Caenorhabditis elegans: one gene and its partner. The protein of the gene in region 2 purifies or fractionates together with the protein of the main gene of each other region. This does not show direct contact. Each region holds a gene or a part of one and is shown on either strand. Other genes may lie near its edges.

Region 1 (3,924 bases), about 12 Mb from region 2:
ATTAATTATTTAATTGCCTAGGCCTCGCCGCGAAATCAGAAGTCTTTGTTGAAAAAAATAATTACTTTGAAATTAAGATCAATTTTTTCAAAATTCAAACATTATTAAAATAGACTTCGTGGTGAGACCTTTGAACTATCATTTATTAGCGAACGGGGAGGGGGGAATGGGGGCAATGACATGGTGTGGTATTGGTTTTTCGATATTTTAGAGGAAACAAATATGTGTGTTTTAAAAAAGTAATTAAACCATTACAGGAGGAGCTGCTGCCGAAGAAGAATCACTGATGTTAGGGAGGGTTCCGGAGACTGAAAAGGTACATGATTAGGCACATACACTCACACACGGCCTCCTGGAGTGTTCATAATTATTAGAGCGCGCTCGCGCTGCACACCTCACGAACTCCAGAATTTGCGGGAACTCGTTCCGCGTGGACATCAGTTTTTTGCTATTTTTGGCTTCTATAGAAAATATTTTTGATTTTTTGTTTTATAATATTCTTGAGAAGCATCATCCGAATTGAAAATGTGTAAAATTCTGAAATTTGGCCGAAAACTGAAAGTTTTACAGAAGGAAGCCACTACAGTTTTTAAAAAAATGTATCAGGATTGCCAGTTTTACGATTTATGCGTCGTAAAATATGTCATTTTGTAGAGAATTAAAAAGTTTCATAAGAACTTTCGTTTGAAATTTTAATTCTTTAATTTCTAATAAAAAAATATTCAAAAAATCAACAATTTTAGGTTAAAATCTTATTCCTTCAATTTTAAGTTTTTAATGAAAACAATTTTAAAATTTCAAACGAAAATTCTTATGAAACTTTTAATTCTCTACAAAATGACATATTTTACGACGCATAAATCGCAAAACTGGCGATCCTGATACATTTTTTTAAAAACTGTAGTGGCTTCCTTCTGTAAAACTTCCAGTTTTCGGCCAAATTTCATAATTTTACACATTTTCAATTCGGAAGATGCTTCTCAAGAATATTATAAAACAAAAAATCAAAAATATTTCCTATAGAAGCCAAAAATAGCAACAACTGCTGTCCCCGCGGAACGAATTCCCGCGAATTCTGTAGATCATGAGGTGCCGCGCGAGCGCGCTCGAATAATTATGAACACTCCAGGAGGCCGTGACACAAAAGGTTCTTCTTACGCTCGGTAATGATCTGATTAACAGTGTCGGAAGGCGTCGGGGTCTTCCAGTCTTCTGGAATATCGAAATCAGTGATCCCACGGCCCTCTAGCGCCACTTTGAACTGATTAAGACTCTCGGTGAACTCTGCTTGGGAGGCGATTTTGATCTTTCTGGCGGGAATTGAAGTAGCGTCGTTGGAAACTGCTGGACGAGGAGTGAGAATTGATTTGCGCTTCTTGGTGACTGGCGATGGTGAGAATCTCTTCTTGGCCTTGTTACGCTTCTCACGTTTCTCGGTAGATGGGGATCTTGGTGATCTTTTCGGCGTTCTGAAACTAAAATGTTGGAAAAATATAAGAATTTGAATTATTAGAGACCTCTCCGGCTTTGAATGAACAATTTCTTCCTCTTTTACTGGATTTTTAGCAGCAGAAGCAGTAGAACTTTCGATTTTCGCTGGCGTGGTCGTTTGTTTTTTTCTTCCCAAAGTTTTTGGTGTTTGTGATGTAACTGAAGTGGCGGCTTGTGATCTACGCGTGATGCGGCTAGAAGTGGGCTCGACGCCGAGGTCGAGCTCCATATCCAATAAGTCCATTACAAAAGTCTGAAAATGGGAAAATAGCGTGTTTTTTAGATTTTTTGTGTTTAAAAAGGGCATTTTTATTAATTTTCTCGAATAAATTTCAATTGAAAATATGAAAAATCGATAGAAAACGAGAAAAAAAGGAGAAAAACGAAAAAATTCGCGGAAAAAATGCTGGCGCGTTTCGTGACACTGACGCGCACGCCGTGCGCGTCAGCAACCAATTTATTTTATTTTTTAATACGAAATATAATTTCTTCCGTTTTCCTCAAGATTTTTCCGTAAAGTGTTAGATTTTTTGCTCAATTAAATAAAATTTAAATATTTTTAATCAAATAAATAATTAATTTCACTATTTTAGGTAACAAAAATGCCGCCGCCAGCTCCGTTCGAGGGGCAAAAGAACAAAGGGCACAATGGTAAGTCAATTACAAGCTTTTTACTAACTATTTTTCACGTTTACAGTCCACAAAACTGGAGGAAAAGCAAAAAAGCGAAATGAGAAGGAGCCGAGAGTCAAGGGAAACAATCTGAAAGCTTTCACTTTCCACTCCGCCGTATCCGCTGGAAAAGCGATTCGACGAGCTGCAGATCTCAATGAAAAGAAGAAACATGTTCTGATGATGGACAGAAAACCCATCGAAACACCACCAATCATTGTAGCAATCGTTGGACCGAGTAAAGTCGGAAAAACGACACTTCTCCGGGGTCTTGTCAAGTATTACCTCCGTGATGGATTCGGAGAGATCAATGGTCCAGTGACAATTGTAACTGGAAAGAAACGTCGTGTACAGTTCATTGAGGTCAAAAACGATATTAATCATATGATTGATATCGCGAAAGTCGCAGATTTGGTGCTTCTAATGGTCGATGCATCGTATGGATTTGAAATGGAAACCTTTGAATTTCTAAATATTTGCCAAGTGCACGGAATGCCACGTATTATGGGAGTATTGAATCATTTGGATCTTCTCGATGGAATCTCACGTGTCAATAAGACCAAGAAAATTCTGAAACATCGTTTCTGGACGGAGCTCTACCAGGGCGCGAAGCTTTTCTACATGACTGGAATGATGCATGGACAGTATAAATATAATGAGATCCATAACCTCTGCAGATTCATTTCTGTCATGAAATTCCGTCCGATGGTGTGGAAAGATGCTCATCCATACGTTCTTTGTGATCGTTTCGAAGACATTACCAACGTCGAAACTCTTCGAACGGATCCACTCATCGATCGACACATTGCCATGTATGGATGGGTTCATGGTGCTCATTTGAAGAATCATTCGTCGATTCATGTGCCAGGTGTTGGTGATATGAGGATCAGTAATGTCACGAGTCTACCCGATCCGTGTCCGCTGCCTGATGAGATTAAGAAACGAGCGTTGAATGAGAAAGAGCGGAAAGTGTATGCTCCGTTTTCTGGATTAGGAGGTGTCATTTATGATAAGGATGCGATTTATATTGAGTCAAAGAATGCTCACAATTTTAATGTAAGATATTCGGGATTTCAGCGCAATTTTAGACGGGAAACCATGTTAAATAAATCAGCATTTTTCATTAAAAATTAGTGATAAATATGGAAAAATTTATTTCAAAATAACATTAATCCCTGTTCAAACATCACAGAAAATGCTCAAAAATGGCTTAAAAGTCTTGAAAATTTTAATTTTAGAAAAAAAAGCTGAAAATTCATAATTTTAATGTAAGATATTCCGAATTTTGAATTATTTCAGCTCATTACCGGCAAAATTCAATTTTTAATCAGATTATTATTTATGTTGATGAAAAAAAACAGATATTTCTTCTAGAAAGAGTAAAAATTACCAAAATTTAAGGTTTTTTTTCAAAAATAGTTGAATCTATTGAAAAAACGAAAATTAAAATTTAGATTCTTGTAAATTTGCAGATTTTTCAGATTTTAGATGACTTTAAGAGCTTTTTGCAGAAAAAAAATTTGCTAAATTTTGGAAAATTTTCATCTTAGAAAAAAATTTGAATGATCGCAGACGGCCTTGAACATCCTTGAAATTATTTGAAAAAAAAACTGCAAAAACTCACAATTTAAGCAATTTTACGAGCTTCTATTTAAAAATTACACTGTATAAATTTCAGATGCTGCTGATTTTTTTTTGTGGCGGTTATTTTCAGCAAATTTACAAAACGACATATTGCACCATGTTATATTAACAGTTTTT
Region 2 (3,924 bases):
AGGAGAAGTGGAATTTTAGCTAATATTCATTTTTTATAAAATAGCGAAAACTGTTTTTCTCTCAAATTACCGGAAAAATTCATATTTATCAGCAAAAATGTTTCCTTATTTTTTTCCAGAAAAAAATATTTTAAAAAAAATAAATTTCGGTCCAAAACTATAAAAAATCGATGAAAATTCCGCAACAACAACAAAACTTTGGAGTTACAGTACTCTTTAAAGGTGCACGCCTTTTCGTATTTAACAAACTTTTGTCGTGTCGAGACCCGGTACCGTATTTTCGAGAAGACTTTTGTTCCGTATAAAAAGCCTTTTTAAAAATAATTTTAAGTCATTTCTCTAATTTTCAATCAATTATTTCTCGGCTAATTTTTTGTGTAATTTCTTCCATTTTTTAGATATCAGTGCTACTATAAACTTTGCTTTCGCGGCGAGACCCATCCCACTAAGCCTCTGCGCCTTTAGGTAAAAGTTTCAGAAGTTTGCGTTTTAATTAAGCTTTTTCTATTCATCTGAAAGTTGTGCAAATTCTCACTTTTTCTCCCCGTATTTACTTCCACCCCCATAAACTGCCCCTCCTCTTCATTTTCTTCACGTCTCCGTCGTCTCCAGTGGCCTGTGATGGCCTGTGTGCGTATATTATTCCTTTACTTCTCTCTCTCTCTCTCTCGGTCTCCCACACTCTCCGGCCTTTCCGTGTGCAAATGCGTGCGCGAGTGCGCACGACGTGTCTGCGTCTCTCGACGTCTTCTCAGTGTCTGCATCACTGTGCACTCCGGAATGCACACGAACTCTGCTCGCGCCGCTCACAAACGGCGCTCATCGGGTGAGAGATTGTCTTTTTTCTCTCGATCAACTAACTCTCTCTGTGGCTGGGCAGAGTGAGAGAAGACAACAAAACGTTGACGTTTATACCTCGTGTGAGAGCGAGAGTTTTTTGTCTCTTTTTTTCAACTTTTTCACTGAATTTATTAAGCGATTTGGAACATTGTTCGTGTTTTTTGTAGGGAATAAAATATAATTTATGCGCGAACTGCGTAGGTCATGCGCATGAAAAATTAAAGGATTTTGCTTTTTTAGACTCAAAATGCGCTCAAATAAACGAATTTTGTAATGAGACTACTCTTAAATTTCCCGAAATTTTTTATGGAGGCTTCTTTTTTTTAATTCAGACCTCGAAGTTCAAAATTTCGAAAAAACTTGATAATTTTTAAAAATTAGACAAAATTTTCGATTTTTCCAAAAATTTATATGTCGTAGCGGTAGGAAATTAAAATTTTTTCCGACACGAAAAATTGGCAAAGCTAGTTTTCCAGCTGGATTTTAGATAAAAATGCCCAGTTTTATCGATATTTTCAACCGCCATAGGTAAAATTAAACGAAATTCGTTTATTTTGGCACATTTTTACACCAGCAAAAACTGTCACTCCTCTCTCAAAATTTATCAATTTTCCCCGCGGTTATCGCTAAAAGTGAGCAAACCAGCAAGAAATACAGAATTTTCGGTTGTTTTATTTTTTTTTAATTTTTAAAGCAGTTTTTACGCTGAAAACTCTGAAACTTCAACTAAATTTCGACGAAATTCAGTTTTTCCATCTAAAAAAACAAATAAAAAACAAATTCGCAAGCGTGCTCCATTGATAAATTTGCGGAGCGGGAATTTGAATCTAGTTTTTCTTGTTAAATGGTTTTTTTAATCAATTTTGTGATAGTTCTCAAAATTTCACTTTTTCTGTGTATTGGCCCCATTGCCCATTGCTTTGTTCATTTAATGAAGGCATTTTTGCAAATTTTTACCACAAGGAAGCTTTAAAAACTAGAAAAAACGCGGCAAACCACCGATCAGTAAGTGCGCTCCAATGTAAATCGGAGATTTTCTCGTTTTTTAATTTGTTTTTTACGTTAAATCGATGTTTTGTCTACAATTTGAGCGTTTTTCCTGCGTTTTTTTCGGTTAAAAATTGAATAAAATTAAATAAAACCCATTTCAATACATTTTATTCCCGAATCTGATCACTTGTCGACCTACATTGCCATTTACTTTCACTCTCTTCTTATCATAATTTCGATAACCACTGCCTATCTCTTTTACACCATTCCGCGTTAATAAAAACCCTCTCTCTCTCACTCTCTCGCAATAAAAAATCAATATATATATATATACATTTTGCAGAAGCGCCCAGAAATCTCTCTCTCGCCGTCTGCTTCTCTGCTCCCTCCTACACGAAGTTTCAACACTTCGCTCGAACACAACCAGGGCGAGAAGACGTTGAAGAAGATAAATTCTTTTAATCAAAAAAAAAAATGCACGGAAGCGGGCACAGTCTAACGGGCGCTCCGCATCAAATTCCGCCGCCACGGACACAGGGAGCCGCCACCGGTGGCCAACAACTCTCGGCGACAGCTAATCAATTTGTTGATAAAATCGATCCGTTCCATAATAAAAGAGGAACTTCTAGACGATTGTGAGTGGCTGGTTTAATTTATTTTTATCGATTTTTCCCGATATTTTCAGGCGCATCAACAACAGCAGCCGATATAATGTTGATTCGGCTCAAGAACTCGTACAATTGGCGCTCATCAAAGGTGATTTTTTTGGATTTTCTAGATGAAAAACCGAAAAAATTTCGAAGAATTGAGTAAAAAATAGCGAAAAACTCGCATTTTGCCACCCTGCCGCAGATTTTGGCAGTTTTCAGTCGATTCCAGGCAAATATTCAGGGAAAATGTCCAAAAATGCTAATTTTAGTGAAAAAATGTTGAAAAATGCTCGATTGGCCTGAAAATTAGGATAATTTTCGTTGAAAAGTTGGAAAATAGCCTACAATTGTCGGAAATTGTCCCAAAAGTGTGAATTTCGACTTTTATACAAAATTTGTGATTCTTTTTAAAGTTTTTAACGAAAACTTACACTATTTTCAAGTAAATCAACTTTTTTATGTTGTATTTTTACATTATTTCGTGAAAATTTACCTACATCGACGGGAAAACGCGTTAGAAATCGCGAAAATCTTCAAAATAAAGGAATATTTCGATGAAAATCGATTTTCGGTCGCTGCAAATTCGTAAAAATGGAGTTTTTAGTCTTTTTTTTAAAAGATTTTTTGACAAATCGGATAATTTTGAACCCAAAACTAAGAAAATTTGGTCTTTTTGAGCCAAATTTTGAACTAAAATTCTGAAAAACGCCGTCTGAAATCTCTAAAATCTGCAAAAATTGCCGATTTCAAATTTAGCCTTTTTTCAGAATATTTGAGCCGAAATTGTCGGTTTTTTTTTGAGCCGAAATTGTCGGGTTTTTCAGTGAAAATTTGCCGAAAATCCCTGCTAAAACCCCGAAAAAAGGCCTAAATCATCAATTTTTTAAAAGAAATTCAATTGCTGCTGCAAAATTTGAGATTTTCGCCATTTTTATCGAAATTTGAATTTATTTTGAGCCTTTTAAATCAATTTTACCGCTAAAAATCTTTAAAAACTTCAATTTTTCCAGATACTGCTGCAAATGAGCAACCGGCTCTCGTTATCGAAAAGCTCGTCCAATGTCAGCACGTATTCGATTTCTATGATCCAGTAGCTCAACTGAAATGCAAAGAAATCAAAAGAGCAGCTCTAAATGAGCTCATCGATCACATTACATCGACAAAAGGAGCAATTGTTGAGACAATTTATCCGGCTGTCATTAAAATGGTTGCCAAGAATATATTCCGTGTACTTCCACCATCAGAAAATTGTGAATTTGATCCAGAAGAGGATGAACCGACTTTAGAAGTCTCGTGGCCACATTTACAGGTTGGAAATGCAAGAAAAACCCGAAAATGGCTCCAGGAAGCCGAAAAATGACAAAAAAAAATCGAAAAAAAAATGCAATTTTCAGAAAAATAGAGCAAAAAGTGCATTTTTCACTAATTTTTGGTCCAAAAAATT

The links.
Region 1: the proteins of pptr-1 (region 2) and F54D11.4 fractionate together in Caenorhabditis elegans (co-fractionation; one large-scale study listed by BioGRID). This does not show direct contact.

The regions. Positions count from the first base shown.
Region 1 is NC_003283.11:4,613,978-4,617,901, reverse strand, and holds F54D11.4 (DEK_C domain-containing protein), read right to left. Parts: upstream 1,752-3,924; 5' UTR 1,736-1,751; coding exon 1,518-1,735; intron 1,470-1,517; coding exon 1,159-1,469; intron 309-1,158; coding exon 244-308; 3' UTR 125-243; downstream 1-124. Other genes in the region: Y61A9LA.10 (Bms1-type G domain-containing protein), read left to right, coding at 2,094-2,142, 2,189-3,219.
Region 2 is NC_003283.11:16,355,348-16,359,271, forward strand, and holds the start of pptr-1 (Serine/threonine-protein phosphatase 2A regulatory subunit pptr-1), read left to right. Parts: upstream 1-2,173; 5' UTR 2,174-2,304; coding exon 2,305-2,465; intron 2,466-2,515; coding exon 2,516-2,586; intron 2,587-3,490; coding exon 3,491-3,789; intron 3,790-3,924. UniProt on the Caenorhabditis elegans protein: Probable regulatory subunit of serine/threonine-protein phosphatase let-92 which negatively regulates the insulin receptor signaling cascade composed of daf-2, age-1, akt-1, akt-2 and sgk-1 by promoting the dephosphorylation of akt-1 on 'Thr-350'.